Ovis aries: one gene and its partners. The protein of the gene in region 4 interacts with the protein of the main gene of each other region in a pairwise test. Links are inferred from orthologs where the notes say so. Each region holds a gene or a part of one and is shown on either strand. Other genes may lie near its edges. The genes, in order: AIRIM, ARHGEF5, OTUB2, TRIM54, KLHL38, FAM110A and TSHZ3.

Evidence for each region.
Region 1: the proteins of TRIM54 (region 4) and AIRIM interact in binary tests that used the Homo sapiens proteins (3 or more experiments, as listed by UniProt). The two-hybrid records come from large-scale screens. The link is inferred for Ovis aries from reciprocal best matches to the Homo sapiens genes TRIM54 and AIRIM.
Region 2: the proteins of TRIM54 (region 4) and ARHGEF5 interact in binary tests that used the Homo sapiens proteins (3 or more experiments, as listed by UniProt). The two-hybrid records come from large-scale screens. The link is inferred for Ovis aries from reciprocal best matches to the Homo sapiens genes TRIM54 and ARHGEF5.
Region 3: the proteins of TRIM54 (region 4) and OTUB2 interact in binary tests that used the Homo sapiens proteins (3 or more experiments, as listed by UniProt). The two-hybrid records come from large-scale screens. The link is inferred for Ovis aries from reciprocal best matches to the Homo sapiens genes TRIM54 and OTUB2.
Region 5: the proteins of TRIM54 (region 4) and KLHL38 interact in binary tests that used the Homo sapiens proteins (3 or more experiments, as listed by UniProt). The two-hybrid records come from large-scale screens. The link is inferred for Ovis aries from reciprocal best matches to the Homo sapiens genes TRIM54 and KLHL38.
Region 6: the proteins of TRIM54 (region 4) and FAM110A interact in binary tests that used the Homo sapiens proteins (3 or more experiments, as listed by UniProt). The two-hybrid records come from large-scale screens. The link is inferred for Ovis aries from reciprocal best matches to the Homo sapiens genes TRIM54 and FAM110A.
Region 7: the proteins of TRIM54 (region 4) and TSHZ3 interact in binary tests that used the Homo sapiens proteins (3 or more experiments, as listed by UniProt). The two-hybrid records come from large-scale screens. The link is inferred for Ovis aries from reciprocal best matches to the Homo sapiens genes TRIM54 and TSHZ3.

Annotation. Positions count from the first base shown.
Region 1 is NC_056054.1:12,499,422-12,503,503, reverse strand, and holds the start of AIRIM (AFG2-interacting ribosome maturation factor), read left to right. Parts: upstream 1-1,282; 5' UTR 1,283-1,469; exon of another isoform or gene 1,470-1,490; intron 1,491-1,679; 5' UTR 1,680-1,682; coding exon 1,683-1,957; intron 1,958-4,082. Other genes in the region: CDCA8 (borealin), read right to left, coding at 467-595, 736-832. UniProt on the Homo sapiens protein: Part of the 55LCC heterohexameric ATPase complex which is chromatin-associated and promotes replisome proteostasis to maintain replication fork progression and genome stability.
Region 2 is NC_056057.1:108,786,036-108,789,535, reverse strand, and holds part of ARHGEF5 (rho guanine nucleotide exchange factor 5), read right to left. Parts: coding exon 2,948-3,500; intron 2,390-2,947; coding exon 2,332-2,389; intron 1,906-2,331; coding exon 1,841-1,905; intron 1,641-1,840; coding exon 1,387-1,640; intron 1-1,386. UniProt on the Homo sapiens protein: Guanine nucleotide exchange factor which activates Rho GTPases. Strongly activates RHOA. Also strongly activates RHOB, weakly activates RHOC and RHOG and shows no effect on RHOD, RHOV, RHOQ or RAC1.
Region 3 is NC_056071.1:56,431,910-56,435,409, reverse strand, and holds part of OTUB2 (ubiquitin thioesterase OTUB2), read right to left. Parts: intron 1,696-3,500; coding exon 1,600-1,695; intron 295-1,599; coding exon 176-294; intron 1-175. UniProt on the Homo sapiens protein: Hydrolase that can remove conjugated ubiquitin from proteins in vitro and may therefore play an important regulatory role at the level of protein turnover by preventing degradation.
Region 4 is NC_056056.1:34,374,736-34,378,235, reverse strand, and holds part of TRIM54 (tripartite motif-containing protein 54), read right to left. Parts: exon of another isoform or gene 2,973-3,500; intron 430-2,972; coding exon 257-429; intron 1-256. UniProt on the Homo sapiens protein: May bind and stabilize microtubules during myotubes formation.
Region 5 is NC_056062.1:29,254,797-29,258,730, forward strand, and holds the start of KLHL38 (kelch-like protein 38), read left to right. Parts: upstream 1-1,134; 5' UTR 1,135-1,318; intron 1,319-1,781; 5' UTR 1,782-1,941; coding exon 1,942-3,369; intron 3,370-3,934.
Region 6 is NC_056066.1:59,933,525-59,937,451, forward strand, and holds the start of FAM110A (protein FAM110A), read right to left. Parts: upstream 2,801-3,927; 5' UTR 1-2,800.
Region 7 is NC_056067.1:41,338,294-41,340,817, reverse strand, and holds the end of TSHZ3 (teashirt homolog 3), read left to right. Parts: coding exon 1-350; 3' UTR 351-2,024; downstream 2,025-2,524. UniProt on the Homo sapiens protein: Transcriptional regulator involved in developmental processes. Functions in association with APBB1, SET and HDAC factors as a transcriptional repressor, that inhibits the expression of CASP4.

The DNA of each region.
Region 1 (4,082 bases), on a different chromosome or scaffold from region 4:
GTTATCCTTCCATCTGTGCTCTGGTAACAATCTATTCATTCATTCACTTTTAAATGGTTAGATAAAACACCACCCCCCTCAAAAAAAGAGTATTTCATGACACATGGAATCTGAAATCTGTCAAATTCACATTTCAGTGTTTCCATAAATAGATTTCTGTTGGAAAACAGCTATGCCCATTCATTACAGCTGTTTTTGAACTATAACAGCATGAGTAGTTTGGACAGAGAACCTTCTGGCCTACAAAGCCTAAAATACTTATTATCTCCTCCTTTAGAGAAAATATTTGCCTGCCTGCAGAGGAAGATGAGGGAAAGTGCTAAGAAGAAAAGCAGGGAGGTGAGACGGATCGGGGAGGAGTAGGCCTGCAATTTCCTTCTAAGACCTCATTGAGAAGATAAAAGCTGCCATGGTAACCACAGAAGGGCTCCAGGCCGAGGCCTGGGGAAAGACCAGGAGCTCTTACCGAAGTATTCGAGCCAGTTCATTTCGCGCAGCGCCTTGGGGAGTCGCAGGATCTCAATGTTGTACAGGTTATCCAACTCTTTGAGGAGGTTCTGCCTGTCTGACTGAATTTGCTTGGATCGCATTTGCACTGCGAGAGGGCAGAGAGGACACGGCACGGGTCACCCCGCGGGGAAAAGGTTCCCGGAATCCCTGCTGCCCGCGTCCCAGTCCTCCAGCACCCCGCGATTGCCCCCAAGTGACCGCGACCACCCGGGCTCCGCCCCTCACCTTCACGGTCGAAGTCCTTAAGAAAGGAGGCGAGCTTTCGGTTCCGCAGCACATTGGTCTTAGCCACCCGACTGCCGCCCTTCCTAGACGGAGCCATGGCCCTTCGATGGAGGCTGCGGGGAGCTAGGGGCGGAGGCACAAGGCGTCAGCGGCGGAGATGGTGAAGGAGAGGGGGCCGCAAGGGGGCGAGGGAGGGTGGAGGGCCCCCCTGGGGGTTTGAATTGGGGACCCCTGCCCTTCCGGGCCCGAGGAATAAAGGATTCGCGAGGCACCCACCTGCAGGTTCTGAAACCCGGGCTGAGGAAAAACCCGGCTGCTTCAGCCGAGAAGGAGCCGCTCCGGGACGAAAGCGACGTGAGACCGCCGCCACCAAATTCAAACTGCCAAAGGCTGGCCAATAAAAAGCCGCCGTCTTAGGAGGGTTTCACAACAGCCAATCACAGAGAAGCTTCGCAATTGGGCAGCCAGTCCACACGTAAACTACAGCACCCAGAAGGCATTGCGGTCCGACCGCATCTTTTTCGCGACTCTGTAACCACGTCTGGGCATGCGCAGAGACACAGCGGAGGTGTGCGGAGTCTTGGAATTTCCTTAAAGTGTTATTGCTTTAGTTTTGTTTTCCCGCTGGTTTAGAAGAGCGGCCGGAAACCTCAAGTAGAGGAGATAAGATTCTGGCTCCGGAAGCACGGATCGGCCCAGTGAACCTTCAGTCTGAAACTGCCCTAAGCCAAGGGGTAGGTTGAGCCTCTCTGAAGGTAAGACTCGCGCTAGAAACACCTGTCGGGAGGGATGGACGGCCCTACATGAGCAAACTTTGTTTAGCTGGACCTCTCTGAGAACGGAAATAACTCCCACCCTTGACTCGGCCCTTTGCCTGTCGACTTGGGACCCTAATGATATTTGTTTTTTCCTGGGTTTTGTTTTTGTTTTCACCCCTACAATAGAAGATGACTGAAGATCAGCCTTTGCTTGCCGTGCAGGAGGCCCTGAGGAAGTGCTTTCCTGTGGTGGACGAGCAGCAGGGCCTGTGGCAGAGTGCTCTGAGAGACTGCCCGCCCCTCCTGGCCTCCCTCAGCAACCTGGCAGAGCAGCTGCAAGCCACACAGAACCTGCGATTTGAGGATGTGCCCTCACTTCGGGCCTTCCCAGACCTAAAGGAGCGGCTGAGGCGCAAGCAGCTGGCGGCTGGTGACACTATCCTGGACAAGCTAGGAGAGAGGCTGTAAGAGGCACAGTGGCGCTCTTTCTTGGCCTAGAGATGTTAAAACTGGGTATTTAATAATCTAGGATCAGTGAGAAAGGGGGTTTTTCTCCTTAAGAGAATGGTATTTGGGGATGTGACAGCCTTACCCCCTTTCCATCTGTTGCAGTGGGACCTCTCTCTGTCAAAAAACCATTTTCTGGCATTTCCCTTATCAGCTAGGCATGACAGTGGTGGACTTAGTAAAAGTTACCAAAGCAGAACAGAAAAGCAATGGAGAAAGCTCATTGACCCTCCACTGTAGTTTTCCTTAGGTAGAAAGCAGCAGGAGTTACACTGTAAACTTAGTAGGTGCCAGCAGCAAGGATTTTACATACATTATCTCATAAAATCTTTTCAACAACTGTGACTTAACCTCACTTAATCCCATTTTTCAAGTGAGGAAACTGAGGCTCACGCAAATTGCCTGTGCTCAGGCAGTTAGTAAATAGTAAAGCTGGGATGCTCATCCGAGTGCCTCTGGCACTGGGGCCAGAAGCTCCTAACCACCGCTTTGTTCTGCTGTACATTGGTGTCTGAGCGAGGAGAAGCACCAATGTTAGGCCTTCGATCTTAGAATTACAGGTAATTGGGGATAGAGAAGAGAGAAGGCACATATGGCCTTCCCTTAACCAGGATGAAAGAAGGTTCTAGTGTGTAGGGTTTGCCATAGACTGATAGGAAACTCAAAGATGGGGGCCTTCTTTGTATTTATCTGTACTAAAAACATTAAGAACCCATGGGATGCAAAACACAGGTGCTAGGAATACAATGGAGAAGGCAATGGCACCCGACTCCAGTACTGTTGCCTGGAAAATCCCATGGATGGAAGAGCCTGGTAGGCTGCGATCCATGGGGTCTCAAAGAGTCGGACATGACTGAGTGACTTCACTTTCACTTTTCACTTTCATGCATTGGAGAAGGAAATGGCAACCCACTCCAGTGTTCTTGCCTGGAGAATCCCAGGGACAGGGGAGCCTGGTGGGCTGCCGTCTATGGGGTCGCACAGAGTTGGATACGACTGAAGCGACTTAGCAGCAGCAGCAGCAGCAGCAGCAGCAGGAATACAATAGTAAGGCCGACTTAGTTCCTAAGTTGAGTAAAAGAGTCAGTTAAGTTAGGTCATTATACATTCTAAGGTAGCGAACTTTTATTTCAGTTGATTACATGTTTTTATGTGGGTATTGGGCTGTTATTTTTAGCCTAGTTTTTATTGTGAGTCACAGTCAAACTTGAAAGCTGCAGTTCTAGGCTAGGGAGTTCCTTGCCCTTTGGGAAGTTGTAGCCTTCGTCTTATGGCTAGACCTCTTGGAGTCACTAATGGAATAATAACTTTTAAAATAATTATATAATAATTTTTAAAATAATCATGTAAAAATAATAAAATTTGCCATAAGCTAGGTACTTCCCTAATGGCTTAATATGCATTATTGTATTTACTCTTCACAACAGTCCTTTTCATTCACTGGACAAATGTTTGTTGCTTTGTCGGCCAGTCTCAGTGTTTTAGGTACTTAGGATGCACAGTGAACAAAAGAGACTTGTTTTTGTTCGTGATTGAGAATAAGTAACTTTCCTGAGATCGACAATAATCTGTGTGCGTCAAGAGCTCAAATTTTACCCATTCAGGAATTCACGAGGGTGGGGCACGATATAGCATGAGCGCAAGACTGCTCTATTGCTGTAGTTTCCTCTTGCTAATTCCTTTCACATATGTGGCCTTAGACTATGTGTGAACATTTCCTCTCCTTTATGGGAGTCCCAGAAAGCCTGCTTGGTCTTTACTATCTTTGGCAGCTGGGCCCATCACACAGCTTTTGAGAGTGATGTAACTTCAGCCTCATCATCTTTAAGTCAATTCTTAATTGTTAAGCCACCCCTCCATCCAAGGCACCTGGGACCAGTAGATCTCCTTCGGAGGCAGTTTTTCCCATTGGGATGTGTGGCAGTATCTGGAGACAGTATTGATTGCCACAGCTTGAGATGGGTGGGGACATAGTTTGCTTTTGTCATCTAGTAGGTAGAGGCCCAGGTTGCTGCTGAACAACCTACAACCTACAGTGCAGCCCTCCACCACAAAGAATCATCAGGTCCAAGATGTTCTTGG
Region 2 (3,500 bases), on a different chromosome or scaffold from region 4:
GAAGGGGACGACAGAGGATGAGATGGTTGGATGGCATCACCGACTCAATGGACGTGAGTTTGAGTGAACTCCAGGAGTTGATGACGGACAGGGAGGCCTGGTGTGCCGCAGTCCATGGGGTTGCAAAGAGCTGGACACGACTGAGCGACTGAACTGAACTGACTGATACATACATATGCATACACACCTAAATATCCTTTTACAGATTCTTTTCCATTATAGGTTATTACAAAATATTGAATATAGTCCCCGATACACAGTTAGTCCTTGTTTATAATTTTATATATAGTAGTGTGCATCTACCAAACCGAAGCTCCTAATTCATACTCTTTCTTGGTAACTATAAATTTATTTTCTATGTCTGTGAGTCTGTTTGTATACACACCACATCTTCTTTAGCCCTTCATTTGTTAATGGACTTATAGGTTGCTTCCCTGTCTTGGCCGTTGTAAATTATACTGCTATAAATGCTGTAAATAGAATCTATCTTTTTCTGATTCTCCCAGGAATTCTTTGCAACCAAGTTTTTACAAATGAAACAGAAGCTTGGAAAGATCAAGTATTGGGCTAGCCAAAAAGTTTATTTGGACTTTTCTATAACATCTTATGGACAATCCTGAATGAACTTTTTGGCCAGCTCAATATTTCGGCCTAAGTTAAATAGCTGGCAAATATTAAAGTGGGTCCAGGTCATTTAAGCCAGAACCTAATGCTTAAACATTGTTCCATAATGCTTTTCCAATGTGCCATATCGTCTTTCCAGGAAGAAAGATTTAACCCATACTTTAGATTGATTTTTAAGATAAGTGCTCCATGTAAAATATATTAATGATAGTAACTTAACATGAGACCAACAGCCTTTACTGTAGTCTTGCTGTTGGAAGGAAGGACCAAGCAGAGCCTGATGGTCATTCAAAAGCCTCTTTGAGACCCATGAACCACAGAACAGCTGCAAGGGCCACTCACCAAGGGAATACCAAAAAGCCCCTGCATGCGTCTTGGTTGAAGAGGAAAACTTCGGTGTAGGCTGACCCTTTGGTTGAAGAGGGAAATTTAAGTCTAGCCTGAAGCTAGACTAATGAGATTGAGTGTATACTCCTCCCATCAAATTCAGGGGCACGGTCACTTTGTATGAGCTCAGACCAATAGCATGGAGCAGTAAATGGTTGATGGAGCGAGAAGGAGGTAGATAGGAGGGAGAGTGGTGATGTTCACAGAGCAACTTGAGCCCAGAAAGCTGGGGGTGACCCAGTGTCGTGGTGGTGAGTGTGGTAGGGACAGCCCGCTCGTGGTGGTGGTGGGGGTGCTGAGTAGGAGACACGGGCGTGAACAGAGGAGACCCTGCTTTCCCTTCCGCAGCCCCTGCCCCACCCCGCCTGGTGGTACCTCCTGGAGCTTCTGGTCTTCATGGGTCATGGAGAGCAGCACGGTGCTGTTGCGCACCACGGGGATCTCCTGCCACAGCGAGCCGCTGGAGGCCATGGAGAGGCGATGCAGGTAGGACTCCGAGGAGACCAGGGCCTTTCGGGGCTGCTGGAGCGAGATGGGCCCCGGTGCCTCCGTCAGGCTGTCCAACCGCTGCTGGCTCTGAATCTCCTTGTTCAGAAACACATCACTGTACTCCTGGTAAAGCAGCGGGGCTACAGGGGTGAAGAGGTGCAGGAGAGGGAGGGAGTTAGGGAGATGGGGAGTTGAGGCTCCGAGATAGGTCATCAAGCCCCGTGGTCTCCTGGCATTTCTTCCTACAGATGGCCAAGTCCCACCGCTGATGACCATGAACCCCTCTCCGGCTCAAGCAGAACACTCACGGGGGTCCACAGGCCTGTTTTAAGGTACTCACAGGAGTTGATGAGCTTGGAGCACCGTCTTGAAAAGTTTCCCATCACCTCCTTTGGCTTTTTCTCCCTGTGGGATAAAGAAGGGCTCCATGGTGTTTGCTGACCATCAGACACGGAGAAGCCCCAAGTGACTATAAATAAGATAATCTCTGACCACTGGGACACGTGCCAGAATATCACAGCCAGAGCCTCTGGAGAGGCAAGCTGTAGCCTGACGCACTTTTGCACAGTTCGACACTCTTATGGATGTCAGGTTGAAATTTTACAGCAGGGTTTAGTTCACGGCCCAAGGGTCTAGATGGATGGGAGATTGGGATTCAGCTGCAAGAACCGGGTAGACGAAAGATCTCCCTATCCTGGAATCCTGGTGTCAGTCCCTTCCCCTCCCTACGCCTGGAAAAGACACGGTCTCAGCACCTTTGTCAGCTAATAAAAATCTCAGTATCCTAGGAAAGAGAGAAAACTGTGCCCACTGGGAGAAAGGGTGACTCACCGGAAAACAATGGCGTCCAACAGGCCAGGGGATCCTTCCATGGCGGGACCTCTTGTGTCTGAAAATAGAAAACGGGTAAAGTGAGATTGCGAGGGGCTGTTCAGACAGAGTCAAGGAACCTAAGACCTAGAGTGGGAGTTGTAGCCATGGGGGGTGGGTTCAAGGTTCAACTGGGCATCTGTGAGAAAGGGAAGAGCCCAAGTCAAAAGCATTTGAGATCTATCCCCACCCATTGCGGCAGAGTGTGAACCGGACAAGCAGAAGATGCCTTCTCTGCTAGCGGAAGGGCATCGAGCAAGTGTTGGTAATGAAGGTATGCAGCGGCGGTGGGGGGTTGTGGGGGGGAAGGTTCCAGAACAACGCTGGAAAACAGAGATGCACTATAAAAGTACACACCGCAATAGAGCGAGAGAGAAGGAAGGGGAGAAGAAAGAGCCTCGCCATGAGCTCAGAGACGTTCTAGAGGACTTTCCTCTGCTTGGGGCTGGGTACGTGGGTGAGGGAAGCCAGCAGGGGGACCAGCAGGAGCCTGGAGGACGGAAGATGGATGAGGAGGGGAGAGCGGGACAGAGTCTGCTCTGAGGCGAGGTCACCGTGGTCCAGGCTCTGCACTCACCTACAGGGCTCTCGGGGAGGATGGAGGGTCTTCGCAGGCCCTGCCGGTGCCAGTCCTTGTGCTTACTCGACCCCTCACCGGGGACCACCACCGCCTCACTGCCATCCTCCGCTGGCCTTCTCGGCTCCCGTCGATGGGGCCAGCTCGATGCCTTCTCCAGGAGGCTGTGGCCCGATTTCTCTGGCTGCCTCGCTGGGCCTACCTCTGACTTCCTCAGGCCATTGCTTCCTTCCTGGGGGGCTGTTCTTCTCCAAGACCCTCTGGCAGGGGCTTCAGACTCTTCTGAGAGCCCGGGTTCAGAGGTGGGTCGCTGGACCTCTGGAGTCCATGGGGTGGTTGGGGAAGATGGGTGTAGAAGGGCCGTCATGTTACTGAAAGCGAGGCCCGGGGGGGCATCACTCTTACACCTGCCGACGGAAGCCAAAGGGTGGGTTGACCGGCATGTGGCTGGAGGCCAGGAGACCCGTCCTGCAGAAGGCGGGGTGGAGACGGTCCACTCTTGACAATCAGGCCTTGGCCTGCCTTGATCCCCTGAGTTCACGAGTCCTCCCTG
Region 3 (3,500 bases), on a different chromosome or scaffold from region 4:
CCCTTGGCTGCCCTCACTTCCACCACGAGGGCCGCTGGGCATCCCCTCGATGTCAATGCCGCAACTCACTCCCTGGGCTAAGCAGGCTGCGCTGAGACCAAACCCTCAGGGAGGTTCAGGGCCAATCGACGCAGCAGAAGCACAGCCCGCCCGGCATCCCTCACACGGCACTCACTTGAGGATCTCCCTGCTCTTGCCCAGCAGAGACTCCAGGTAGGAGTAGCCCAAGGCCCGGTAGAAGCAGTTGCCATCCCCCTTGGTCTTGCGGATGGCGGTGAACCTTTTGCTGAGTTCCTGTGGGGGACAGAGGAAATGTGGGTGTCCGTACCAACAGAACCCCCATCGAGTCCTGTCAGGGGTGGGGTTCCACCTCCCCCAGGCAACATCTGCTCCCTCCTCTCAGACTGGAGGCCCTCCATGGTGTCCCAACTCTCATCCCACAAAAATAAAAATACGTGGAGTGCGACCTGCAGGAGGCACTGTGAACGGGGAGCCGTGCCCCGCTCTGAGGAGCCTACAGGCTAGGGGGATGATGGACGGTTGGACAACTGTCACAGGAGGACAGGGGATGCACCAGGGTGCTGCGGAGCAGTGGCATCTACACCAGACTTCAGCAGTCCAGGAAGACTTCCTGGAGGAATCGCACCGAGAGAAGTGGTGTGCCTGGTGGGGGCAGCGAGGGTGCATGTGGCTGTGAGGTGGGCCAGGAGGCTGCACAGGCAGTAGGAAAGGCCTCCTCGGACATCGCCAAGCAGTCTGGCCAGTCCTCCGAGCGGTTCTTAAGAAGTGTGGCGTCCCCATGGCACCTGCTCCAGTTCTGCTCTGAGCTGTCAGCTTCTGCCGCGGCTGCCTCCCGGGCCTGCCTACGGTCAGGATTCTGACGGCCCAGTGTGGTTTCTAAGGGATCAGGGAGTCCCTGCTCCCACCAGGGTGGAGCTGACAGCCCCCTAGAGGCAGGCTGTAGGGAGGGCTCCCTGGAGAGCCAGCTCATCTCCCAGAGGATGAGATGTGCAGCCCAGCTCTCACTCCTGCCCCAGGAAGGGCTCCCAGCGGCCACAGGAGACAGTCCTGCCCAAATGCAGGTGGCCAGAGGGCAGTAGGGGGACACCCAGGTTCCTCCTAGTCCCATAACCGTTCCTGCATCCTTCAGCCATCTCTCCTTTGTCAGAGTCCAGCCAGAGTGGGCCTTCTCACCAGAGAGCTGCTCACAGAGTGGTTACAAATACTACTTTTATGAGCTGAGGCTGTTCGGCCCAAGTGCCGGCTCCTCCACACATGCGCGGTAGAATTGTGGGCCAGCCATTTAATTTTCGTAACTTGGTTCCCTCCGCTGTGAAATGTGGGTAATAAAAGTCCTGACCTTGCAATCCTGTAATGAGGTCAAAAACTGCTGGGGTTTTTTGGGGTTTTTTTTGCAACTAAAGGATTTCTCACTAAGGTAAATATGCTCAACACTGCATTATTCTGGGAGGCCTTTAATTTGTCCAGGAACCTGGTCCAAAGGCAAAGCCTTTTTACCTTCAAAGTGGTACCTTTGTCTCTGCTCCCAACTCCAGCCCATTTCATCTAGGCTCCCCTCCTCCTGACCCTCTGCCTTACCTGGATTTTCCTCTGGTAGATTCTGTTTTCAGGATGATCCCGAAGAATTGATAGAATGTCACATTTTTCTGATATTAGGTTGAAAGATGTTTCACTCTGAAAGACAGAAAAAAGGAGCAAAGCTGTGACAATTTCAAAAGCAACTGCAGGTGAAAACCAATAGAAAGCCCACCACGTGCTGGCTGCAGGATGTTACCTCCCCTGGACAGAAGCACCTGCGAGTATGTGACTAGCAGCCCAGAAGCCAGGGTCCCCGGCAGGAGTCAGGGTCAGCCCCATTGTGAAAGGCGTTATTATCTTGTAAGTTCTTTCGTTTTAAATTTTTTGGAAATATTTACTTAGTTGGCTGTGCTGGGTCTTAGTTGCAACACATGAACTCTTAGCTGTGGCATGTGGGATCTAGTTCCCTGACCAGGGATCAAACCTGGAACCCTGGCATTGGCAGTGCAGAGTCCTAGCCCCTGGACCACCGGGGAAGTCCCTCATCTTGTAATTTCTGAACTGACTCATTTTATAGACTGTAATACATCGGTGCACAAAAATAAATGCAAAATGGTTTAAAGACTTAAATGTAACACCCAAAACCATTAAAATTCTAGAGGAAAACACAGGCAGTATGCCGTTTGACGTTGGTCTTAGTTGTATTTTGGGGGGATCTGTCTCCTCAGGCAAGGAAAACACAAACAGAAACAAACAAATGGGACTACATTAAAACAAAAAGCTTTTCATCTGGGAATCTGTTTCCTGTGCGTGTAAACTCACCTCTTCTGAACATTTCATACAAGTGGAATCATATGATTGGTCTTTTATGACTGATTTCTTTCACTTAATGTATTTAAGAAGCATCCATGTTGTACCACATATCAGTACTTGTTTCCTTTTTGTTGTCAGATAATATTCTATGGTACAGTATACCATATTTTGTTCCATTTGTCAGTTGATGGATTTGGGGGTTGTTTCCACTTTGGGGCTATTATGAATAAAGTTACTATGAATATTCCTGTTTAGAAAAAAAAAGTTTTTGCACAGCAAAGAAACTTTCAACAAAAGGAAAAGGCCACTTACTGAAAAGAAGAAGATATTTACAAATGATATATCTGAATAAGGAGTTAATATCCAAAATATATAAAGAATTCATACAACTCAACATCCAAGACACACACAACCCAATTGAAAAATGGGCAGAGGATCTGCACAGATATTTTTCCAAAGAAGATATATGGATGGCCAACAGGTCCATGAGAAGATTTTCAACACCGTTAACCATCAGGGAATCAAAACCACAATGAGGTATCACCTCACCTCTGTTAGAATGGCTGTTATCAAAAAGACAAATGACAAGGTTGGTGGGACTTCCCTTGTGGCTCAGCTGGTAAAGAATCTGCCTGCAATGCAGGAGACCTGGGTTTGATCCCTGAGTTGAGAAGATCCCCTGAAGAAGGGAACGGCTCCCCACTCCAGTATTCTGGCCTGGAGAATTCCATGGACTGTACAGTCCACGGGGTCACAAAAAGTTGGACACAACTGAGCAACTCTCACTTTCTAACAAGATTGGTGAGAATGTGGGGAAACGGGGACCTGGGGTGCACTGCTGATGGGATTATAAGCTGGTGTAGTCATTAAGGAGAACAGTGCGGAGATTCCTCAGACAAATTAAGACAGAACTATCATATGTCATTCCACTTCAGGGTATGTATCCAAAGAAAACAAAAGCACTCTTTAGGAAAGATACAAGCATCACTATGTTCATTGAAGCACTGTTTACAATAGTCAAGATGTGGAAGGAACCTAAGTGCCCATCAGTAGGTGAACGGATAAAGATGTGGTGTATAATATGCAATGGAGATATTCAGTCACAAAAAAGAATGAAATATTTCTCTTTGCACCATCATGGATGGACC
Region 4 (3,500 bases):
TTGGCAGGGACCTTGCTGATAAATGGCCAGCTCCTGCCAGGTGAAGAAGGGGAAGCGCTGACCGGGAATCAGAGGCCACCTGAGCTGGTGACCTACCAAGCTGGGGGCAAGTCCCTCCTTCTCTGAGGTCCACTCCTCTCGTCACTAAACTGAAGGGACAGGTTGATCGTTTCAGCTTCTCCCTGCTGGCCCTGATGGGCTCCCTGGCTATGTCCCAGGCCCTGCATTTTAGATAAATGAGATGCTAACAGCTCACCGGGAGGACTCCTGCTTGTAAATGTCGATAATATTCTCCACGAGCAGGTTCCGCTGCAGGCCGTAGACACCATGTCGGTCCAGGACCACCTCGTGCCTGCAAGATGGGCAGCGGAAACGGCCCCCCGAAGACACAGTGGTGGAGCTTCGGGACTGCCACAGAGGGTTTGAGGCCTGTGGGTGCAGAGAGCATGAGAGGAAGGCCCAGTGAGTTATGGGGGAATTGGAGGGGGTGGGAGAGAAAGTCACCAGGGCTGGGGAGTAGGACAGTGATGGAGGGGGAGGCAGCAGCTCTTTTTTTTGGGGGGGGGGGGCATGGTGTGCTGCATGGCATGTGGGATCTTAGTTCCCCAAGCAGGGATTGAACCCGTGTCCCATGCACTGGGAGCACATAGTCTTAACCACTGGACCACCAAGGAAGTTCTTTTCTATGGCTGGGTGCTCCTCTGAGAGCAGCCCCAGGTGGGTGGCCATGGAAATCTCTCCCACCTTTGTGTCGTTACTCAGCCCACCCCTTTGAGTATTGCTGCATCCAGAGCCTAGCTTGATCAGGCCTTGTCAGGACAAGACCTCCTCAAAGGGGCCCGGCTTGGAGCTGTGGGGAGACATTGACCTCAGCAGGAAGACTGAGAAGGGAAATGGACCCTGAGTGGTGCAGCCCATAGCCTCCAGCCTAGGGCTCTCGTGGGCCACGTGTGGGGGAGATTCTTTGCAACCCCGGGCAGGGGCACAGAGACAAATGCTGAACAACAGAGCAGACACGTAGAGTCAGGCAATCCAGGGAAATCTCTCCAGGCACAGGGAACCAGGGCTCCTGGGTTCTCATGCTGTTCCTGTAGTGCCTACTGTGCATGTCTGGGCAAGCATTCAACCTCTGCACAATTAAGGATGAGACTGGTTTATTCACTCTACCACAAATATTAAGTGTGCCAGGTAATTGCTAGGCTCTGGGGAAAAGATGACTATCCCTGCCCTCAGGAGGAGCAAACTCACAGCTCCATCCAGTGGGCTGGGTGTTACGACAGGAGGAAGCTTGGAAGGAGAACTCACCAGATGGGATCAACAGTTCCTCCCATTTATACCCCTGAGAGGACCTGCTCCATCCTGTCCTAAAAAGGAGAGCCCTGCCATGGCTGAGGCCACAGAGCGTTGGCTCAGAATTGAGGACATGATCGGTCACCTGACCCAATAGGACCAATCAGTTTTTCTTTCTAGGAAATTGGAATGGAGACACAGAGGCTGACGTGACTAGACCATGTGCAGCTTTTGAACTGAAAAAAGATCGGTGGAGTTGAGCTAAAAGCCGACATTGTGGCCATCCCGAAATCTGTACAAGTGGGCAGTGTGAGGGGTCAGACACTGTGAACAGAGAAGCCTGGTCTGCAGGGAAGAGAAAGAATCGATCTGGGGAGAGAAGTGGAGAGGAAAGACAGGTGGAGACTGCTTGCTGTTCCTCAACATTCACCTCTTCTTCTTCTTCAATAATAGAGACCTTAGATTTTTAGTAAGACACCTGGGATAAAGACCATGCAACCAAGCCTCCCTTCCAGCCGGGTGTGACGAGGTGACTGTGTTCTGGCCAATGGGATATAGATAGAAATGTTTTGTGCAATTTCTAGGAAGTATCTTCAATGTGAAAGGCACGCCCTACTTCTCCTCTTTTCTCCTTCCTGCTGACTAGAATGAAGATGAAATGGCGTAGGCTGAAGCAGCCATCTAGAGCCAGGCAGTAGCCACATGCTGAGAACGGCAAGATAAAAGGAGTCTCTGATGAGGCAGAACTGGACTGCCCACTTTCACTGGAGAGTAAAAAAGTTTTACCTACTTGAAGTCACCGTTATTTTTGGTTTTCTGTCTTTCACAGCTGAACCTAATCCTAATTGGCTGGAAGAACACTCCTAGAGAGTGATGGAGAGGATGGTCATCTGTGACTTTGTGTGTTTAGATGTATTTCCCACAGTTGGGTTCTATAAACTTCTCCAAATCCTTATCACATTTTGGCAGGATTCTCTTTTTTTAATCTATTTATTTATTTGGGGGTTTGCTGGGTCTCTGTTGCTGTGTGGGCTTTTCACTAGTTGTGGCAAGAGGGGCTACTCTCTAGTTGTAATGCACAGGCTTCTCGTCGCAGAAGCCGAGAAGCCTCTCTTGTCGCAGCACGGGCTCTAGAGTGCTTGGGCTTCAGGAGTCGTGGCTTCCGGGCTCTAGAGCACAGGCTCAGTAGCTGTGGCGCATGGGCTTAGTTGCTCAGAAGCATGTGAGATCTTCCTGGACCAGGGATTGAACCCGAGTCTCCTGCACTGGCCAGCAGATTCTTTACCACTGAACCTTGAGGGAAGCCCTTGGCGGGATTTCTTGAAAATTGTAAGTTAACATTTTAGCCCATCATAAAGCTAAAAAGATTAGCTTGAGATTATCCCAAGGCTGCGTTTGTGTAAGTAAACATAAATCCTTCTTAGTAACTGGAATTGTGTGAATATTGTTAAGTTTAGCTTAAAGACTGGGTTAAAGTGTGAGATCACTGGGCTTTTGTTTGCTTGATACAGTTATCTTTCAGTATTTAGAATCCAAGTGAGCAAGGTGGTGTCAGGAAAACTCTAAACCTGCAAACTCCTGGAATCTTGCTTCTCTTTGATTTGCTGGTGGCAAGCATTTGAATATGCTTGGTGTCTGAATGGGAGGAAAGGGGGCATATTATTTTTTATATAAGTAAATTATTTTATTTTATTTTTGGCTGCGCTCGGTCTTCACTGCTGCACTTGGGTTCCTCTAGCTGCAGAGGGCAGAGCACTCTTCGTGGTGGTGTGTGGTGGTCTCATTTCGGTGGCTTCGCTTGTTGCAGGGCACAGGCTGTATGTGCATGGGCTTCAGTAGTTGCAGCTTGGGCTCAATAGTTGTGGCGCATCGGCCCTGTGGCATGTGGGATCCTCCCACACCAGGAATCCAGCCAGTGTCCCTTGCACTGGCAGGTGGATTCTTAACCGCTGGACCACCAGGGAAGTCCAGGGGGCATATTCTAAAGTCTTGCCCCAGAGCAAAGACAGACTCCTAAAGCTTCTTCTAACCTCTGCCCCTCACTGCGCCCTTCCTCCGTACTCATTATTTAACAGTCAACACAGGTTTTGAGGACCTATTATATGTCAAGCACTGTGCTAGGGGTTTTCCATACATTCTTGAATTTAACCCTCAAGAATTTCTTGTAAAGATGGTAGAAAAGGGACTTCCCTGGTGGTCCAGTGGCTAAG
Region 5 (3,934 bases), on a different chromosome or scaffold from region 4:
TGTGGTGGTGACAGGGTGGATGTACTGGAGGGAGAGACAAGGAGCGAGGGTTAGGAGCAACTGTTGCAATAATCCCAGCAAGACTTGAGAAGGAGAGAAAGCCAGGCTTCCCTGCCATCATTCACTGCTGGTACCCTCAATCAGGACCTCCCTGGACGGAGAGGCAAGATAGATTCAGGGTCCCTTTAACTCACCCTGGCAGCTCTACAGCCCTCCAGAATGGCTCTAATTCTTATATTTGGAGATTGCATCCTACTCCATCACCATCAGCATTCTCCTTCTCTTCTTCCTCCCCCTCCTCTTTCTTCTCCTTCCTTTCATCCTCACTCACTCACTCACTCTCTCTCTCTCTCTCTCCTGCCCACACTCTGCTCCTGGAGCAACACAGTTTCCTCCTTCCTCTAGCTCAAGCCTCTCTGATGGGAAAAATTGGAAAAATAAAACAGAAAAGCAAGCCTGAAATATTTTTTTTTTAATGAACTGAAGAACAGTCAGCAGGGCTCTGGTGAGAAGCAGGTGTGACCCACAAGAGTACTGCCCCGGCCACTTTAAAACAGAAGCCCCTGTGATAAGGAGGATCCACAATGCTTTGGTCTCCCCCAAGTCTGGAAACCCTGGGGGTGCTCCACAAATATCTAAAACAATTTTCATCACAGAGACCATCACCTTGGAGCTTGGAGGAGGAACTCACAGCCCTTCTCCAACAATCCTGCCCGCAGACAGTAGGAAATAGAGACCAACTGAGCAATGCCCTTGGGCCCCCATGTTCTGGCTTCCCTGTGACCATCTGCCACCTTAAACTCACCCAGAACTATCTTCAGTGACTTTTCCCAGGTCACAGCAACCTGTTTACAGACATCTAGAATTCCCAGGCACTTTTAGGACAAGGCATTCAGGATGTGTCCAAGTGGGCAGCAAAGTCTTGTCTAAGAGAAGTTGTTCCTCCAAATCTATTTCTGCCCATGTAAACATCTGCCAAGGAAACAAGGCATGTGGGCATGCGCTGGGCCCACAGGCCCTCGGGTTGCTGCAAAAGGCAAATGGAAAGTCACATGTCATAACAGTGGAAAGTACATACGCAACTATTCTTAGCCCTGGAATGTATACACGGTCTCTCTGCCCAGCAGTTCTTTCACAAAGCTCTAGAAAACTGTGAAAGCGCCTTCAGCATAAACAAATCCAGAATTCTCCCAGGACAAATTATTTGCCAGCTTAAGGAAAGGCCTGGTTTTATGGTTTCACTTGGAGCCAGAGGTGGAAAGTCTCCGGAGGGACCAGCCGCGGCAGGTATCGATGGTTTTCACTGCAGGAAAACGAGGTAAATAGCTCTAATGTTTAATTCTTCTGCAGGTGAACGGGTGGCCAGATGTCATCCAATAAACCCTGCCCAGGGTACCGTCGGTCTCTGCTTTCTATTTATCTCATTTTAAAAACAAAAGCCACAAGACTCCGTGAGGTCATGTTTAAAAATAAAAACAAAACATTGCAAAGATCCATTTCCATCCCTCATTTCTGTCTCGATACCAGAGGCCACGCCCCCAGCATGACATCCGTGGGGAATGACTAACACCCGGAAAGATGTTTGGATGAGTTTACTAAGTAAGAGATATGCTGAGAATCCGGAGAAAAGTTCACAGACTTATGCTTCAAATGCACAGACTGTCATTTTGCTTCAAGCTAACGTTTTAGCCCCTGTAACCACTTACCACCTTCAACTCTCCCAACTTACCACCTGCTCTCTCTCTCTTCTAAATTTTTTTTCTTTTCTTTTCTTTTTTCAGATTGTCTGCAGATGCTATTTCTCTGTTACCTCTGAGAATAATCATAACCAAATAGAGAGATTTTCGCTGAGGCCCGTACACTAGGTGGTCCCATTTTCCAGTCTTCACTAAGGCGTATTCTTGGTGGTACCCACAAAGAGCTTAGTGAATGGACAGATAGATGTGCTGTAAGTCTCGGAGCCGCCACAGCTTAACCCTCCAGGACGACCTCCTTCTTGGGACTTCTCCCCGTCTTTACAGGATGGACATGGAGTCATCAGAGGGGCTCCTCTTCAAAGACCATGACTTCTCCTCTGACTTGCTGAGGCAGCTCAACGACTTGAGGCAAAATCGGATCCTGACCGACGTAAGCATCTGCGCCGGGGCCCGGGAGGTCCCCTGCCACCGCAACGTGCTGGCCTCCAGCAGTCCCTACTTCAGGGCCATGTTCTGCAGCAACTTCCGGGAGAGCCGAGAGGCCAAGGTCCAGCTGAAAGGCATCGATGCCTCGACTCTGGAGCGAATCGTCCTGTATGTGTACACGGGTGAGGCGCACATCACTGTGGAAAGTGTCCTGCCCCTGATGGAGGCCGCATCCATGCTGCAGTACCCCAAGCTGCTCGAGGCCTGCTCCTCCTTCCTCCAGAGCCAGCTGAGCCCCAGCAACTGCCTGGGCATGACTAGACTCTCTGAAATCTTCAGCTGTGAGACCCTCCGGAAGAAAGCCAGGGAGGTGGCCCTGACATATTTCCCAGAAGTGGCCGCGTCGGCTGACCTGAAGGAGCTCTGTGCCTTGGAACTGAGAGACTACCTGGGGGACGATGGGCTGTGTGGGGAGGAGGAGAAGGTGTTCGAGGCCCTCATGGTTTGGATCAAGCATGACCTCCAGACCCGGAAGCGATACGTGCAGGAACTGTTCAAGCAGGTCAGGCTGCAGTACGTCCACCCGGCCTTCTTCCACCACTTCATCGCCAACGACGCCCTCCTCCAGTCTTCGCCCCCCTGCCAGACCATCCTGGAGACCGCCAAGAGGCAGGTGTTTTCTCTGTACAGCACCGCTAGTTCTGCGGGCCTCCAACCTCTGTGGCATGTCCCGCCAAGAAACTCTTACCAAGACTTCCTCATCCTCTTGGGTGGAAGGAAGGACAACCAGCAGACCACCAGGGATGTCCTGCTGTACGACGGACAGACTGGCCGGTGGCAGAGCCTTGCCAAACTCCCGGCCCGCCTGTACAAGGCCTCAGCCGTCTCCTTGCACCGCGGCATCTACGTGCTGGGGGGCATGGCTGTGGGGAAGAGTGTGCCCAGTGCCAAGGTCTACGTCTTCTCCCTGAAACTGAATCAGTGGAGGCCAGGGCAGCCCATGCTGGCGGCCCGCTACTCCCACAGAAGCGCTGCCCACAAGAACTTCATCTTCTCCATCGGGGGGATTGGTGAGGGGCACGAGGTCATGGGCTCCATGGAGAGATATGACAGTGTCGGCAACGTCTGGGAGAGGATGGCCAGCATGCCAGTGGGGGTCCTCCACCCTGCGGTTGCTGTGAAAGACCAGAGACTCTACCTTTTTGGGGGAGAAGACATCATGCAGAATCCTGTGCGCCTTATCCAGGTAAACAGTACTTCCCACCATACAAGTGCACACACACACACACACACACACGTATGCATACATGTATCCAGGTAAATGGTTCTTCCCACTATGTCTACACACACCTACAAACAAGCACATTCATGCACACACACATATGTACAGATGCATGCATGACACATATGCTCACACGTGTGTGCACTGCATGCACACGCATGTATACATGTGTGCATGTGCAAACACATGTGTACATACACAGATACATGAATACACACATACCTATGCACATATATGCGTATTATACATGCTTGTTAGTTGCAAGGGAAGGATAAAGGAGGAAGGGAGGGAGGAAGGAAGGAAGTTTAATTTCAGCAAGATCTTATCCATTTATGAATTCTTTTGGGTAAGGTCAATACATACAAAGGTACATCAGATACCTCTAAAGGATCTAGCTGCTACTGCTACTGCTGCTAAGTCACTTCAGTCATGTCCGACTCTGTGTGACCCCATAGACAGCAGCCCACCAGGCTCCCCCCTCCCTGGGATTCTCCAGGCAAGAACACTGGAGTGGGCTGCCATTTCCTTC
Region 6 (3,927 bases), on a different chromosome or scaffold from region 4:
TATGACATTGTGCACTTCCACCTCACCCCTCCCTTCCACCTGCTTCTCCTTTTCCTTAGCAGAAGTCCAGCCCAGACTTCGGTGGAGACAGAGAGGCCCTCTCCTGCCCCAGAGGGAGCCAGGAAGGCTCCAGGCAGCAGAAGACTCCAGGACAGCTGCCAGGGCCAGAGACACCCAGCTGGGCATCCTCCAGGCCCACGCCAGGCCCCACACTATTTCTGGAGTTTTCCCAGATGTTCGTGCCCTGGCCTGCCTGCAGTCAGCCTTGCCCAGGGCAACCTTGCACAAACCTCAGGAAGAGAAAGGTAAACAGGCCACAGAAGCGGTGTGGGTGCAGCTGCCTAAGGCAGCAATCTCCCGTTTGGCCCACCAACTGCACACCTCCACCAACTCAGTCCTCTGGGCCTCAGGTCTGCACCTGAGCTTGCCAAATGAGGACAAAGGGACTCGCAGTGCAGACTAAGAGAGATACTGCGCGCAAAGCCTTAGGGAAGGGCCTGGCACACAGGATGCGGAAGGTGGAGTTGGGACAGACCCACAACCAAGCCCACTTCCTGTCCCGGACTGCCCTCTGCCTGGGCCGAAGCGCACCATCATGGCTTCTTTTCTCGGCGCAGAGATGTCAAGAACCTTGTCCAAAGTCACAAGAAAGTTAATGACAGATCATAGACAGGGCAGTGGTCTCATGATTAGATAAACAATCTATAATACACACATATTTTTTCAACCAGGTGATACATGTGCATGGCTTAAGATTCATAAGCTGTAAAGGAAATTAAAAAAAGAAAAACACCTCCCTCCACTCCTATCCCCAGCCACCCAGTTCCCCTCCCTGCAAGAATCATTATGATCAGATGGTTATATGTCCTTCCAGGGAGATTTCAGGCACATACAAGCAACAATGGACATATATTCTATTTTTTTTACACATAGCAACATGTTCTGTGCATTGTTTTCATTTATTCTTTCATTGAATAATATATGTTCTTAATATGTTATTAGCATGTTATTAATTATAATGTTATTAACAAAATAATATATGTTGTACTACATAAAGAGCCCATCAGTCCCTACCAATGGCCACTGAGCGTGTGTCTAGTCTCTATTAAAAACCACACTGTGGGACTTCCCTGGTGGGCCAGTGGTTAAGAATCTGCCTGCCAATGCAGGGGACATGGCTTCTACCCCTGGTAGAAGATCCCACGTGCCATGGAGCAACTAGGCCACAACAAAAGAAGCCTCCAAGTTCTAGAGCCCATGATCCACAGCAAGAAAAGCCACCACAATGATAAGCCTGCAACTAGAGAAAGCCCAGGCAGCAACGAACACCCAGCCCAGCCAAAAATAAACAAATAAATAAAAGAGTTCTCAGGCAGAGCCTTAAAAAACCCAAAAACCCCACACTGTGGGCTCACTGCACCTATATCATTCTGCCCAGAAGTGGGACAGCTAGGTCAGGGGGTGCATGTGTAATTGTGACAGAGATGAGGGACTGTGATCCAGGGAGTTGATCTCCCACCAGCAGAACACACAAAAATGATCAATAAATGTTAGCATTAGTCATTTTGATTCCTAGGGCTTTGGGCACCCCTCAGTTTCACACTGGAGGCGATTACCTCATTTACCTCACCCTAACCCTTCCCTGCAACACATTCCAGTCCGGGAAGATAATAAACTCGCTAATAAGTGAAATTATAGGACATTGGATGGGGTAAATGCTACTGAGAAAAACAAAATAGACAAGGCAGAGCATATGAAGTGAGTAAATATTTGTTGAAAGAATGAAGACTTGTTTTCTTTCTGAATTTCCAGAGCTCTGCTCCCTTTAAAGCCAGGAGACTGGTTTGGAGGAGAGAGGATAAATAATTCCCCTTGAAGAGATTCTAGACTCCCAGATGCTACAATTCTGAGTGTCTAGGATTCTAAGATGGAAGCCAGACAGATTGGGAACCAGCCCCAGAGTTGCCAAGTCTGACCATGTGGTTTTGGGCAAAGGGGCTTAACTTTTTAGAACCTCAGTTTGCCCACCTACGAAAGGAAACCCATAGCAACCAGCAGGTGGGGAGGGGGTTCCCCAGGAGGTAAGGCCTGGTGTAGGTCAGATGCTCTACCAGGAGCGGTCCTGGGCCCAGGACCAAGTCCAGTGTCTCTGGTGACTAGCGTCTTTGGCTGAGGGCTGTGCCTACCCTTTTGCCCAACCCGCAGTAGATTCCCAAGAGTCCTACAGCAATTCCAGGGCCAAAGCATCTGCTCCCCACCTGGCACCTAGCTCAGAAATGTCAGTCCTGCCTGAGCCACCCGTATCTTCTCTCTGAGAGGGAGAGCTCTGTAATTCAGAGCCCTGCAAGCTGAAGGATCTCAAGTGAGCCCCAAGTCCACCCCTGGCTTTCTGGAGAAATGAAGACAGATGGTGGGGAGAAGACCCCAGGCCGACGCTGGGGAGAGGCAGCCTGGAGCGGATGCAGCCAGGGCTCTCATGCTCCTGTTGATCAGAGGCTAAGAAAGCGACCACCAGTTACCTGTCAGGGTCTCTCAAGGCAAATCTAGAACTATTATGCTAGAGACTGCGAGATGGAGCAGAAAGATCTGAATCAGATTCTCTGCCAGACTTCGTCTTTCTGAGCCTCAGCGTTCTCATCTGTGAAATGGGGTACCCTCGTAGGACTCGGAGAGAACACGCACCGCAGGGGTGAATACAGCGCCCCCTTACACCCGGGTTCGCGCCCCGGACCACCCGTGCCCTCACAAGGAGCCTCGCCTAGGCGAGTCCCGCTCCTCCAGTGTGGGTCTTGAGGAGGCTGACAGCTCGGACCCAGTCAGGCGGGGAATGGCCGCACCCAACACGGCTCGGGAGGCCCAAGCCCCACGTGAGGACCCGCGGGGGCCTCTTCGGAGCTGTGCTCCGCACCCGAGATAAGCCGGAGAACCTGACTGTCCCAAGGTCCCAGACAGAGCGAAGGTCTGGGGGCACAGAGGGGAAGCGAAAACCCCGGGGCACCGGGGGAAGGGGAAATGAGCGCGTCGCTTCACCCCCCTCCCCGACACCAGAATGGTTTGCCCCGGACATCCTGATTGGTTTCTCGCTTCCGTTCGAACTCCGCGCCGCCCGCATTGCCAGGCAACGGCTTAGCTTCGGCCTGGCGTGGGAGCGCCCTGCCTTCTCAGTCCCTCCCCGCCCTTCAGCTTCCCGGTGGTCTCAGGTTCTTTGAGCAGCCCCTTTAGCTCAAGCGGCTAATTCTTTCTCTTGTTCACCCGGGACTTAGCTGATGGACGGAGGACCCTGGTGGGCCCAAGGGGTCGCTAAGAGTCGGACACGACTGAGCGACTTCACTTTCACTTTTCACTTTCATGCATTGGAGAAGGAAATGGCAACCCACTCCAGCGTTCTTGCCTGGAGAATCCCAGGGACGGGGGAGCCTGATGGGCCGCCGTCTCTGGGGTCGCACAGAGTCGGACACGACTGAAGCGACTTAGCAGCAGCAGCAGCAGTCCTGACTTCAGCTGACAGGCTATGTGAACCAGTGCAAGCCAGTTTTCCTGTCTGTTCCTCTAACTGCTCAATGCTGAGCAAGTTAGTGTGAAGATGGGCATGCCCAGCAGTCCCGAAATTTACTAAGGATGTGAGCGAAGATTAATATGCCCTGCGTTCTTTATCATGGCAAAATAATGAAAATAACTTAAGTGCTCAGTGAAAGGAAATTGGTTATATAAATCCATCCTGCGGAAGAACTGAATTTATTGAGGTTTTTATATATACCAGAAGCTTTGCATGACAAAACTCTCATCACTGCTCATGGCATAACCCTCTGATAAGTACCTTTAAATATCCTCACTTTTTGCTGAGGAATATTATACAGTCATTAAAAATGATATGATTAAAATATATTTAGCACTAAGAAAGATTGAATTTTTCAAAAGTATGTTTCA
Region 7 (2,524 bases), on a different chromosome or scaffold from region 4:
TCAAAAACTTGGACACCGGCCACCCTGTGTTCTTTTGTAATGACTGCGCGTCACAAATCAGGACTCCATCCACGTACATCAGCCACCTCGAGTCACACCTGGGCTTCCGGCTACGGGATTTGTCCAAACTGTCCACTGAACAGATTAACAATCAGATAGCACAAACCAAGTCACCATCAGAAAAACTGGTGACGTCCTCCCCCGAGGAGGACCTGGGGACCTCCTACCAGTGCAAACTTTGCAATCGGACCTTTGCAAGCAAGCATGCAGTTAAACTTCACCTCAGCAAAACACACGGGAAGTCCCCTGAGGACCACCTTCTGTATGTTTCTGAGTTAGAGAAGCAGTAGCGTTTGCTTTTGATTAAAGTGACTGTAATTCGCTTTGAGGGAAACTGTTGCAGGCACCTTAAGGCCCCCCTGTCTTGTTCTTGGCACATGTTCTTATTTTAACTGCAGAGAATCACTCTGGGCTGGACTGTTTTGTATAACTGTACAGTGTTTAATAGAGGTGCATACTCAGCTGTTGTTACTGGTAAAATATGAAGGTTAAAACGCAGTGGTAAGTGTTTGGAACTTTGTGTAAATGGGATTTAGTTGTGAGCATCCCCTGATGCTTCAAGCTGCATGCATTAACAGACAGTTTAATTAAGCATTTATGACGAAACCGGGCACACTTTTCCACGTGGCTCAAGTGTGCTGGCATTTTTCACCCTTTCATCTTTAGCCCTCTGAGTACTTTGAAGCACTTTTGCATTAATTTGGTTAAAAAATAAAATAATAATAATAATGTATGAAGCTCTGTTTTTTAAACTCCTTACCAGCTTAGTTATAATTAATAATATGAACCTCCATTTATGCAGGTCTGCAGGGGTATAACACGCCTTGAAATTTAAAAGAATATTATTTTCACATTGAAACATAGATGTATATATTGTATAGATTTCAGACTCTCTTATGAAAAATGTGATTGTGGGTAAATGACCTTTTTTCCTGCATTTATAGCAACAGTGTTTTATGTACCTGCTATGCTCTGGGCATAAGCTGTGCCTATGTATAGTGTATATTTCTTTTTCTTTTTTTTTTAAGGTCTATGGGTTTTGTTTTTTACATGCAAACATTGTAAATTATACAGAAGATACCACAGATAGCATTTATAAAGTATACAGAAACATTATCTGAAAGCAAAGTATGATTGTTTGTTTTGCTATACAGTACATCTATATTGATAGAGGTTCACGTTTAAATTATACATATTTATTAGCATCATATTATCATTTGTTTTGAGCAGTCTGAATAAACGAGGCCAGGAGATCCATCCATGGCAGGCATCATAACTATTTTGCACATTATTTTTAAAGGTATTTATTAGAAATCAAAAAAAAAATGCTCAAAATAAACTCAGTGCTCAAAGGGTTAAGTCTATTTGAAAAGGAAAAAAAAAGAACAAAAAAAAAAGAGAGAGAGAGAACTTGTACTGTATTTCCTAAACATTGATAAAGCCTTTAAAATGTTTGTACTGTAATACTTTGCTTAAAAGTCACGAGGCATTCTGTGATACAACCTCTTTTACTTATTTATAAGCCCTCTTGGTTGCTGTTCCATATTGTAGGACGCCTTTTTATTTCAATTGGTAACTTTCTGTTTTGTTCTTCCTAATTATTCTCCCAAGATCCCACACTGCAGCTTTATCTTTAGGCTTATGAAAGGTAACCCGTGGTTACCGGCTCTCCAAGTGATTCTGTTCTTCTCCATTTTTGGCAGTTAATTTGCAGAAGTAACTGACAGCTGACACCATATGAGAACCTATGTATAAAATATTGGCATGTAAACAGCACAGACACTCTGTGCCCTGTTTTGTTGTTGACAATGAACCACCATTATGTGACTCTTCATATAACCCTCTTTTCTACGGCAGCATTAAAATTGTCTTTTTGCTATAATTTTGTGTTGCGTTCACAATTATGTCTGAAATGTGCTACGACTAACGAGCACATTAAAATTAAATTGTATGCGATCTGTTTATGACTGAGTTGGTTGCTGTGTCTGCCAGGTGCTGGCAGTCGGAAGCCGCCCGTAAATCAAGGGAGTTTTAGTGAACTTTGGGCTTGGAGAGCAGCGAGCATTCACTCAGAGGCGGCGTGGACAGAATTTTCCCCAAGAATAAAAATGTAAAAGAAAGGAAGATGTTCCCGTGGGGTTAGATTCTTGCTGGGAAGGCGATGTTATCAAGTATCCGTAGTGGAGCTTCGGTCACACCTGGCGACCCGCATGGGGGCGGGAGCTGGGTCTCCCATCTGGATGAGAGAAGTCCAAGTCAGGGCCCTGAGCCCTGCCCATGGCAGATGGGAGGAAAGGTTTTTGGAAGGCTCGGTGCAGGGCGATTCCTTCCTGTTGATTTGGGATTTTCAAGGAGCCCAGCTGGGCAGGTGGGCTGGGCATGCTCTCTCTTCTGTGCTAAAGTGAGCGCAGATAACGAGGTGTCGGGGGGCGGGGAGCCTGAACCCATCCACGGGAGGAGTGGG